Alligator mississippiensis: one gene and its partner. The protein of the gene in region 1 interacts with the protein of each later gene in a pairwise test. Links are inferred from orthologs where the notes say so. Each region holds a gene or a part of one and is shown on either strand. Other genes may lie near its edges.

Region 1 (6,198 bases):
CATGGATTTGAAAACAAAACTCGAACAAGAACCAAGACATGTACTTAACATGAATGTCATCACGTGATCTTTCATTGTTATGTCATAGAATGTCATATAGTCACAAGGCTGGAAGGGACCTCCAGAGGTCATCTAGCCCAACCCCCTGCCTGAGGCAGGAAATATATACGTGTCCAGGAAGGCAGGCATGAATTCTACCACTGAACCAAAACAGCAGGTTTATACACAGCAGGGAATTGAACCCAGGTCTTCCACAAAGCAGGCAAAAAGTTCTACCACAGAACCACAACAGCATAATCCTCCTTCTACTCCTCTCCAGACCCTCTCATTTAATCTTATTTAGGGCCTGACCCAGAAGAGTGCTGTGTATCCTCAGACCCCCACTGACTTCCTCAGGAGTTGAGGGCATTCAAAGAGATTGGATTGCTTATACTGCAAAGCCAAGATTTGCTATCCTGAGTGCCTGAATTTAAACTTCTAAATCAATATTTGGGCAATTAAATAAATGGCCTCATTTTCAAAATGGTGAGCATCACCCAGCTCTCCCCAAAGTCAATCAAGAGCTGCAGAGTTCTTTGGAGAATCAGGGTCACCAATTTAAGTGTCTGAATAAGGATTCAAAATCTATATTTTAGGAAAGTCTTAGCCAAAACTCCTATAGGCAAAGATTTAAATTTGCCTGTGAAGACTTTCATATTTATGGAAATACATAACCTTCTTCCCTTTCCCTTCTATTAGCACCTTTATATCCCATCGCTGGGGCAGGATGGCTGCAGCATTCCACCTCAGAGGCAGCTGCATTTCAGACCCAAGTAACAATTCATGTGCACCATGCACCTCTAAGGTTATCCCCTCTTCTCAGTTTACCAGCATCTCCTGGCTTCTGCTAGTCTGTCTTTCAAATTGCAAGCTCTTTAGGGCAGAGATTGCTTTAATTTTTGTGCTTGAAATAGCACTGAATACACTCCTTTAGTGATTACTGTACAAACAACAAACAATTACACACACACAACGCACCACAATCAGCTTTGCATCTTTGTCATGAATATTTAAAGCCCAGGCACAAAAATTTAAACTCTGGTCTTTCATTATGACAACTGAGAAAAATATTAAATTACAATAATGTTATACACCCATAAAAAAATATATGTGCTGGGGGGGGGGGGAGCAGACTTCTGCAAGGGTGGTATATGCATTCTGCAAGTGCTTTGGCATCCATCAGAACCAAAGACACTAGAAAAATGTCAAGTCATTATTGTGAGAGTGAAGGCAGAGGAAGGTAAATTAACCCCGAGAGCAGGAAAAGCTAGCAAACCCCCTTGAATGTGCAAAGGCCAAAATGCCTCAGTTATCTCCTTCCTAGCACTAGATAACATGCCTCTACTCAAAACAGTCCGATTGCATAACCAGAGGGCAACAGGTGGGAGGGCATCTGACAGCACATCTAGAAAACATGCGTTATGGGTTCAGGCTCTCTCTGGACAAACCACTGTGCCATGCTACGGAGAAGAGGGAGGGCAAAATGCCATGGCAGAAGGGGCTGTCACCTTGGGGGCACCTGGTATTCCACGGCCTGAGTTTCCTGCCCAGCCACACCAAGAAATCCCCCTTGATCCTCATTCTGGAATTTCCCTTTCACTATGCAGTCCCTTTCTGGATACTGAGCCAGTATTTGTCAGGGCTAGGGATACTCCGGTCTTGGATTTCCTCAGAATTGTCTCAGGGGAGTGACATGCCATAATGAAGTCTGCACTAGTGTTGAATACAGAAAGAGAGCTCTCAGGTGAGCGACAAAGTATTTGGGGCGGAGCATCTGCTCACAGGACCTACATTCACTTCCTCCCTGGTGAAGTCTCCCTTTGACCAGATTTCCCAATGAATGACCCAGGGCAACTATGCTTACTGGGAGGTGGGGGGAGGACGGCTGGGCTGTCCTGGTGTCAGAGCTCACTTGGTGTGGCATTTAACTGTCCCATGCACTGAAGGTCTGCTCCCCATGACTCTTCACCCAGAGGGAGCAACATAGGATTGATAATAGTGATGGAACAGATCCCCTGAGCTTTCAAAAAGGCTTCCACCCACACTACTAGGATTCCCCGTCTTAGACCCCATGCCCAATAGGACCCACAGGCAAGACCACCACTCAAACCCTTAGCCCCCAAGTGCAGAGGGCTCCACGTCCCAAAGTACTAGTAGCTCTGAGATTTGCAAGCTCAGCTCCTCAGCGTCCTAGGGCTCTAGCACCAGGATTCATGTGCACCCCCAGCCACCCAAGCACAGCACAATCCACACCCCAGGCAATGAGGCCAAGATTCACACCCACAACCCCATGAGTGCAGCATGACACACAGCTCAGGGCATAGGCACTAGCATTCACCCTGCCTCTCCAAAGCTTGTTCAGTCAATGTGATCTTCCCCATTGACCTCTGGATGATAGAAATTCATTTAATGTGAGTAATGATGAAAGGTGAGCGCAGGAGAAAGTCAATACAGCCTTCTGAGAAAGTGGAAGGGGAAAAAGACAGAAGGCTTGTTGCAATTTGGGGGGGGCACTATGGTGCCCCAGAAGCAATTCGCTTGGAAAGAGAAATCAGCACAACTCTTTATAACAAATACAAGATGACGATTAGTGACAGAGCTGGAAAAGGCATATGGAGAAAGAGAAATGGGGAGGGGAGGGGAAGCAGGGTTCAGAAACAAGGAGACAGAGAAGATGGAGAAAAGGAAAAAATACCAAGAAGGCCAGACAGAAAAGACATGGGAAGGCCATGAGGAGGAAAAAGGGCAAGAGACAGGAGAAGGGGAAAGGGAAGAAGAGGCAGGGGGGAGCGAAAGGTGATGTCATGTGGTCACTCACTCTGTCTGGAAGATTGTCTGCAGGGAGGGGGCTGGTGTCCAGCGCTGGCTTTTTGGGGGGCAGCCCTTCACGCTCCTCTGCTGGGCCCCATCCCAGGGGCGCCGCCACCAGCTATCCCACACTCTTCCTCCAGACACGCAGGGAGGCTGGAGGGGCGGCGGATGAAACCAGAAACCCTGAGGGGCAAAAAAGGGTCGCCAGCCCCCCCTCAAGTCCCTGGCATTATCCTAGGACGCAAAGGAGCCTCCTCTCCCGTCTCCCCTTTTAGCCACCAGCTATTTCAGGGGTGGCGCTCCCAGGAGATGGCCTCTTCTCGCGCTTTCCTTTCCCCTTGGACAAGCCTCTCTTGAGGGGGAGAGAAGAAAAATCGAGGCTAGGCCGGGGCCGCCCGGCTCCCCGCGCCAGGGCAGGCGTGGGCAGGGGTTGCCCCCTTACCTCCTCCGGCCGCGGCAGGGGGGGCCGAGGCAGCTGTCAAGTAAATAATGGCGGGGCAGCACCGCGGCCCCGGGGCGGGGGCCGATCCCCACTACCCGGCCGGGGGCTCGGGCTCGGGCTCGGGCTCGGGCCCGGGCCCAGGCCCGGCTGGCGGCGGGAGGAGGGCGAGGAGCAGGGAGGCGGGCGCGAGGGAGGGCCTGGGGCCGCCTCCGCCGCCGCCTGTCGGGCCGCGGGCTGGGCCGGGGGCGCGGGCGGCGCTGATCCGTGCAGGCCCCGCCACTGCTACCGCCGGCGGCTCCGGGCTGCGGCTCCACTGCAGGCCCCGGCTCCGCCCCGGCCCGCTCCGCCCCCCGCCGCCCCCGCCTTAAGGAGGCGCTTCGGCCCCCCCACCGGCAGCGCGGCCACGGTGCGAGGCTCGTGCGTGGGCTTTAGCTCGCCCCACAGCCTCCTCCAAGGGATGCGTCCCCGGCCCAAACCCCTCAGTGTCATTCCCCCCCCCGCGGAGTGCAGACCAGCCCGGACACAGCAGGGCCCCGGGGTGAAGCGCAGGGAGGGGACGCGGGCGTCATCCCCCTGACCCTGCTCGGACAAGCTCTTCCAGACGCCCTTCTCCCAGCTGGAGCCCCAGGAGGAAACCCGCGCGGCCCCTGCATCCTGTGGGCCACGCGCGGACGACCCGTCTGGCCCCTTCTTAGAGACAAAGTGAGCCCCCTGAGGCTGAAGCCGGGCAGAAGGCTGGGTGGAGGTGCACCTTATAGACTGATGAATTTTTTACTGTTTTTTTTGTGTGCGCAAAAATATGTGTGTGTGTGTGTGTGTGTGTGTGTGTGTGTGTGTGTGTGTATATATGTATATATATATATGTATATATAAAACTGCACCTCCAACACTGTGCCATGCAGCCCCTGCAGTTCACTTGGCATGATTTGGTCTGTTAAAGATCTATGATCTTGGCACGCAGATCAAAGCACACTCCAACAGTTAAACCATTCATAGTTGTTAGGGGCTGGAAGGGACCTTGTAGAACATCGGGTCCAGCCCCCCTGCACTAGGCAGGAAAAGACAACGGGTCAAGTGACCCCAGCAAGGTGACTGTCCAGTCTTCTCCTGATGATTTCCAGGGTAGGCGACTGCACCACCACCGGAGTTTATTCCACTGACTGTGAAGGAGTTTTTCCTGGAATTGAGCCTGAAGCAGCCTTCCAGGAGTTTGTATCCATTGCTCCTGGTCTTCCCCAGGGGTGCCCCAGTGAGCAGCGGTTTACCAAGTTCTTGATGTAAAAAAACCCCATTACACAGTTTGCACCGCACACCCATCTCCATACCCCCAGCCACTGCGCTCCTCAGAGGGCCCCCCCTGAAAAAGTTGATGCCAGACCCCTCTCCACCATGTGAGGTCTGCCATTTCTTTCTCATCCTTCTCGTCTGTCTTCGGTAGTACCAGTACGTTTCACTCAGCCCCATTTTAATACAGTCCTTGACTCTGTTAACAAAATTGAACAGAAATCCTAGAGCAGGGGTTCCCAACCTTTTTATGCTGTGGATCAGCAAACTGGACTGGATGTGGGTGTGGACCGGCAAAAAGTGGACCAGCAGTGACCGGCATGCTGCAGGCCAGCAGCTAACCCTTTTTAATTCTCAGTATAAAAAAGGGTTGGCTGCCGGTCCACAGTATACCGGTCACTTCCAGACTTCCAGTTCAGCAGACAACCCTCCTGTGGACTGGATGCCAACCCTTTGCGGCCTGGGGGTTGGAAACCCCTGTCCTAGAGAAGCAGGGCTGGAAGGGACCTCAGGAGGTCATCTAGTCCAAGTCCCTGCCCAAAGCAAGAAAGGTCTCGTGAGCTAAACCGGGCTTACAAAAACATATGTATCTTTGACTCAGTCAGTCTATAAGGTACACAGCTACCTTGACTTCAACCTATTTTTAATCTTTAAAACAATCCTCTTGTATGACTGCCAGGTACAATGCCTGAAACATGTTTCCCCTCATGCCTGCTGGTAGCTTTAGGTGATAACTGCACCCCTTTGGTTCCCCTCCACCTGGTGGAGGGTTGTGTGGCAGCTTCTCACTGTATAATCATCCCCCCAACCCCTCTCCAAACCATCTGATAATATTCTCTGACAAACCTCTGCCACAATCTCTCACCCTTACCCTGGTGGTGCAAAACCCAAAGAAATCTCTCTTTGATCATGGCATAAGCACCTTTTCACTGTGGTGTTCTCATCCTTGGCGCTGCCAGCTAATTCCCCCATGCATATCTGTGCCATAGTCTCCCACACCCTGCCGTGCTGTCCCTGCAAGTGCTCTCCGTTTGTATAAATCTCTCCCATCCCATGTGGGAGTTTCAGGCTGGCATGCGGCTGGGCAACACGTAGGTGCACATTGGCAATCTTATGGCAGCTTTCAGGTAAATTCAGAAGGAAGGCTAATGGTAATTAAAAGTGAATACTGTCATTATAGGGGAGGTGGGGATCTCTCTCAGGGTCTGTGGGCCATTTATTGAATAATTTTCTTCATTTCCCATCCGGTATGTCACACCCAGTGGTTCTGTCTGTCCTATTCCTGCTTTCCCCCGCACCAGCCATTCACCTTCCCTGCTTCCCTCCTTTCTCCCTCTTCCCCACCTCTCCAAGACTCCAGTGGCCCTATTCCTCACCCTATACCAGGGCTCCCAGTCTCTGCACCCTGTGACAGGACTCTGTGTGCTCCCACTCCATTCTATCCCCAGCATACAGACTTCTGTACACACCCCATTCCCTATATATTGTTGTCCCAATGTTCTTCAGCAGCTGAGTACAGCCCCTTTCCTCCCATTCCCCATGGCTCTGATTGTCCTTCCATCCCCCTCTCCCCACAGTCAGTCCTCTGTGAGACACCTTTCCCCCCTGCCAGAAACTGTGTT
Region 2 (6,198 bases), on another chromosome or scaffold:
TCGATATCTCATCTGAAAACAGGCAACTTATTACAGAAAGCTTTCCAGTCTTCAGACAGCTGAAGGATGGTTTTCTGTGTTCCTTGTAACCTAGTATTCAAATCATTTAAATGTGATGTGATATCTGTCAAAAACATCAGTTTTGTTAGTCATCTGTCATCAGTAAGGTCTGCATATTGCTGACCACTTTCCTCAAGAATCAGCTTGAAGGATTTGAGACAGCAACAAATCACTTGAGCATGTTGCCTTGACTCAACCAGTGTATATTACTGTGCAGCACTAAATCTCCATATGCAGAATCCATATCATTTAAAAGTTCACACAAATCTCCTGTGTGTCAGAGAGCAGCAGGCAATCAAAAAGCTGACAATTTTCACAACTGTTGTCATGATTTCATTGAAATCGGAAGATGAGATCTTACTGCACAGGCTCTCCTGATGAATAATACAATGGAAACTCATAAGAGGACATCCAATCTCAGTTTCCAGAAGCTTTACAAATCCAGCTGTTTTACCCACCATAGCAGGTGCGCCATCAGTGATAACAGGGAACACTTTGTGCAGGTCAATTTGTTGCTGTGTGAAATATCTTTGACAGCATTAAGTATATCTTTGTTGAGTGCTATGCATAGCACTCAAAGAAAACAATTCCTCGTGAACTTCCCCAGAGATAAAATATTGAACAATTATAGCAAGACGTGGGGGGGATACCTGTTATGTCTGTGTTTTCATCCAGTGCAAGGCTCATCACATCACAAGCATGGAGGTCTCGAGTCATTTGTTCCCTAACGTTAGTTTCCATTTCATCTATTCGCCTTTGAACAGTCCTGGATGACGATGGAATTTCATCAATACGAGCAATCATGTCCATCTTATTCGCAAAAATCCTGAAATAGATCCTCAGCACATTTTAAGAAAGAATCCTTTAAGTATTCTCCATCTGTAAAACTCTTGCCTTGCTGAGCTATATTTAGAGCTGCAATGTAACTTGCCTGTGTGGAGAAAGTATTTCTAGTTGCACAACTAGAAAAGCTGGCTGTCTGCTTTTTAAACGAATCAACGCTTTTCTAACGGATTCATGTTCGTCTGCTTCATTGACTCCAGAAGATTTGGCTTTGTGCTTGGTTGCAAAATGGCGCAGGACACTGGAAGCATGAGATACCACACTTCCGCTGTACAGACTACAAATACAATCCCCTTGCTGCACAAAACCATACAATTCTCTCCAAGCCAGATGAAACTTTTGAATATCTAACTTTGGTTTGTGTGAACTTCAGGAAATTTTACAGTTGGAAGGCACATAGATACATAACCATGGAAGGCAAAAAAAAAACCCAACAAAGGCAGCACAAACATTGTAAACAGAAAGCAGGAAAATCAGAAAGAATTGAATAATTTGAACGGTGTGTAAATCTGGGTAAGTATTTCCAAGACGACAAGCAGAGTAGCAGAAAAGCACACAAAGAAGTGAGCAATATGAAGTGTTTAAATCTAGGAATGCAAAGTAGAGAGAGCAAAATAACTGAACAGGAACTGTTTCAATAAAGTAAAAAACCTGAAAAACATGAACTGGTTTAAGAGAACGACAAACTGAATAAGAAATTACTTAAAAGAGCAACATACGCTGAATAATATGAACTGTTCTGAGTGAGCAAAAGCTGAATATGAATCGATTTAACAGAGCAAAATAAACTGATTAATGTGGAAAGGGCAACAGCTGAACATGAACTGGTTAATATGGAGAGAGCAAAAGCTGAACAGGAATCGATTTAACAGAGCAAAGTAAACTGAAGGGTACAAACTAGTTAGAGAGAGAGCAAAAGCTGAATCTGAAATAATTTTACAAACCAAAATAAACTAAATAATACCCGACCTTCAAATCTTAGCAGGAATCGCCACCAAGGGGCGTAGCCCGGAGGCACGTGCTGGCCTCATGCAGCAGCGGCGGAGGAGCAGAGCCGAGCCGAGCCGAGCCGCGCCGGTCCCTGCCCCCCGGCCGCGAGCAGCACCGCGGGCACGGCCAGGCGCGCGGCTGCACGTGCCCTCTGGGCGGAGGCGACAGGGTTGTGATGCCCCCGCCATGCCATGCCCTGCCCTGCCCCGCGGCGCGCCTGCCGTTGCCTCCAGCACGGAGCTGATGCCGGGCCCTGGGCTGCTCGGCTCGCTGCGGGTGCCCAGAGCCCGGGCGGGCTGCGATCAGCCGCGCCGACCCCGGGGGGGGGGGGGGTACAGCCACCCCAACATCTGCTTCCAGTGGAGGGCCGGGCTCCGCCCTCCCCGCGCAGCCGAGCCCCGAGGCTGAGGAGCCGGGGAGCCCGGCCCACTGCGAGCCCGGCCCCCGGAAGGGGCTGGCGCCCACGCCTCTGCGGGTTCTAGTTCGCGGGGGCCCGCCCGGGAGCAGGTTAGTGCCGGGCGGGCGCAGCCGGGCAGATGGCGGGAGGGGCGGGCGCTGCGCCGCCTCAGGGCTCTTCCCCGCCGCCCGCTCCGTGCAGACTGCGGCAGCCCGGGCCACGCGCGCCTCGGGGAGGGCGGCCGGGGCGGGGGCGGGGCCGGAGGCGGCATCGGTCCGGCGGCTCCGCGGCCGCCCGCGTGCCGGGCAAGATGGCCTCGCGTGCCCTGCTGTGGCACGCGTGCCGGGGGCTGCCCATCCCCGACCTGGAGAAGATCGCCTTGGACTACATCGTGCCCTGCCTGCACGACATCGGCTTCTGCTACCTGGACAATTTCCTGGGCGAGGTGGTGGGGGACTGCGTGCTGGAGCGCGTGAAGCAGATGCACTACAGCGGGGAGCTGCAGGATGGGCAGCTGGCCGGCCAGAGACACGGCATCGCCAGGCGGCACTTGAGGGGAGACCAGATCAAGTGGATCGGAGGCACGGAGGAAGGGTGCGAGGCCATCAACTTCCTCCTGTCCCTGATAGACAGGCTGGTGATGTATTGTGGCACCAGGCTGGGCAACTACTATGTCAAGGAGAGGTCCAAGGTAAGAGACTTGCTGTGGTTGAATTTGGGGTCGTTTCCTAAGGGCTTCATGTCTGTACGGGTTCTACCACCGAGTTGCACGTTCCTGATATCCTAACACCTGGCACCTCTCAACTCCCCAAACTGCTCCCAGGACTTGGCATCAATTTACCTTTTACTCATCTGTTTAAAAGACATAGCAGGTGACAGTGCTTACTGCAGCAAAAAAGGCTTCATTTGCCTTTGAAGCATAGTTTATGTATCTGCTGCCAGATGCAGGAGTAGAGTATGTTATTGTTTATAAACAGTTCCTGGATCCTTCGCTTAACCCAGCAGCACAGAAGTCGGGGCAAATTGAGAAGCATGTTCCAAGTTAAGCTGTAGAGAGGAATGAATGGAGATTTTTTTTAAAGTTGTAAAGTAAAGGACACTCAACAGCTGTTACTGTTCTCTTCCTCCCCAATGTCGTGTCTTTTGGGCAGTGGTGTTTAGAAGATGATCGGAAGACAGGCTCCCAGGCTGCTCATATTGTTTATAAAGAAGTGATGAGGTTAATCCTAAACTTATGCATGTGTGTACCCACAGAGACCACTTCACAGCTGAGTAAATAAACAAATGTACATAGTAATTAATTAACTAATTCCTAGTGAGAAGTGACTTGAGCCTGGATGAAGGCAGACAAGGATCTTTGGGTAAATCTGATATATTTTATTAGACCAGCTCAAATAGTTGGAAAAATTCTTCTTTGTGCTTGGGGGTCATAAGCTGAATGAATACTTTCCCCAATTTGATCCAAAGGGGAAGCTGTATTCACTTACAAGTTTATGGTGGTCATTTAAGATAAAGTCGACTAATAATGTATTTCTTCTAATACTTCCACTGGAAGGGCTGGCAAAATGCAGGTAAATGCTGACGAACTAATCATAATAGACTAAAGTACTCTGGTATGAGCTGCTTGTTTATTTTAACCCTTTGTCCGCAGCTGGCTATCACAGGTGTTTTTTAGCAGTTTGGTAAAGGTGAGTAGAAAGAGGGAGTTACCAATGTCCACTTGTGCTTGTCCACTGTTAAAACATGTTTGGTTTTGTTTGCAACATTTCATTCATATGGTAGTATTAATCCAGTGAGCTTCAGTCTCCATCCTCATGTCAACTATTTCAGAACTAAAGAATATTGTAATAGCTGTTAGCCTTGCCGTTAGAAGTATGAAAAGAAAGATACTTTGCTCTTGTTTAAGGGCATGCCAGAATTTCTTTGTGAAGAATGTGTTAAAAAGTTGCTACTTGAAATTCATTTCCCAGTCAATTTATCTGACCTTTAGTTCAGTCAGTTGGAAAATGTTGCTTTTATCCTCTGCACCTGTATGGAAATGACATTACCCTCTGTTACTAATTGTTGAAAAATTCCCCATAGTTCTTATCCGATTTTCATGGTTGGCAAACAATCTGAATTATACGTTCTCTTCTAGGTTTCCATTTATGTTTCCTCTTTCTGTGATGTAACTGTTAGAGCACTGAAAGTTGCATGATTCTTAAAATACCAGGCAAGAGCTTTGGGGCAGTTGCACTTCAAATTTTATTCTAATCTCAGTGTTTTCCTCCAGGTTTTAGGAAAGGGGATAGAGGAGGGATGGAAAGACCTTGAACAGTTAGCAGGGTATGTAAAGAGAACTTTTATGAATCCTTATTAATTGTTTCTTTTGGCATTATCTTAAACTAACCGGGGCATGTGGGAGTGGGGAATGATGATGTTTCTCAGCAGTGAGGGAGAGGGAATGAAATATTAGCTGTGGTGGGACTTAGCTGTTTCTCAGGTTTTTGGGAATATCCTGAAAAGTTGGCAAATACTAGTCAAGAGACCAGCCCTGTTAGTCTCAAATCAAGTAGAAGTCAATAGTTGTTGAATCATTAACCCTATATTGAGCGAATCATTCCTTTAAGCTGAAGAGCTGGATGGATTTGGGACACAGTGCGTGAGCCATCTTGTAGTGTCAGTTATTGTACATATTCCCAAGTGCCTGCCTCGCTAGTATGGGTAGGTATGGTGGTACCTTGTTGGCCACTAGGAGGAAGAAAAAGGGGATTTGCACTAAAGCAAGAGACAGACACCCACAGGGGAGATTGTCATCACATTCACCTAACTGCATACAAGGAGAACACCTACATTAGATGTAGCTTGTTGCATTGATCTGGAACAGACTTCTGGGACTTACCTTGGGCTGTGGAAGGTTGGGGGGGGGTTAAACCAAACTGTGGTATTCCTACAGCCTTCAATGTTTGAGAGTTATACTTGTTGTTATAATAACACATGTTAACAATAATAGCTGACTCTAGATTTTTCTTCATCTAGTAAAATTATCACATTTTACAAGTGGCTATGGAAATATTGCTATGAACAGATTTCTGTAGCTGTGTAGTGGTAACTGAACACTTGTGTGTGGAAGGTGACAGACTTCAAAGTAGCAGTGCAAAGAAAAGCTACACACTAGTATGGGGACTAAAAGGAAAGAGTATGGTATTTGAATTAAAATACACAGAGAATTTCTATTGGAAACTACCAAGAGCTAGCACCCTTATTATGGAAAAAATATCCCATTGAATTTTTGGTGATTACAGGTAGCTATTTTACATATCTATTGCAAGATGAAACCTAGAGCAAAACAGTGCCCCCTAGTATTATAGAAAGTTAGTGACCAACAGGGAAGACTCCCTCCAGCTTTGAATAAACTTTGTGTATAACTCAGCTTCCTATCCTGTATAGGTGTTTCTTGGAAGTTTCCTATCCAAGCACTAAGCTGGTCCATCTGGTCAGGACATCTGGTAACCTAATAAATAACAAGTGTAATTCCTTTAAAGTAAATAAGGTTTGACTTATTTGCTAGATTTTATCCTCATTTCAAATATGTGTAATTTTTTGGAGGTAGTAAAACTTTTAATAACTTAGTTTGAGTTTTTTTATCATTAGATTCAAGAGCTTTTCAGTTTGATACGCATTGTTCTAACTGTCTTGGTGATTACTTGATTTTTTATTTTTTTTTGTCAGATAATGGGGACAGAGAGGTGGGGGCTAATAACAATCAAGAACAGTTTGTTTATTTAAGATGTAAACTTTTGACTACCTGAGGAAGTATTCTGGCCATGGAAGTCACATCTGAGTAACATTGACTGATTTACTTGGCTGAGGTCTACTCTTTAAAATGACACATTGCTAAATTTATAGCATGTTCAGTTAAACATTAG

What was found.
Region 2: the proteins of FOXJ2 (region 1) and EGLN3 interact in binary tests that used the Homo sapiens proteins (3 or more experiments, as listed by UniProt). The two-hybrid records come from large-scale screens. The link is inferred for Alligator mississippiensis from reciprocal best matches to the Homo sapiens genes FOXJ2 and EGLN3.

What each region holds. Positions count from the first base shown.
Region 1 is NC_081827.1:148,063,559-148,069,756, reverse strand, and holds the start of FOXJ2 (forkhead box protein J2), read right to left. Parts: upstream 3,588-6,198; 5' UTR 2,858-3,587; intron 1-2,857.
Region 2 is NC_081825.1:255,770,639-255,776,836, reverse strand, and holds the start of EGLN3 (prolyl hydroxylase EGLN3), read left to right. Parts: upstream 1-2,384; 5' UTR 2,385-2,429; coding exon 2,430-2,981; intron 2,982-6,198. UniProt on the Homo sapiens protein: Prolyl hydroxylase that mediates hydroxylation of proline residues in target proteins, such as PKM, TELO2, ATF4 and HIF1A. Target proteins are preferentially recognized via a LXXLAP motif.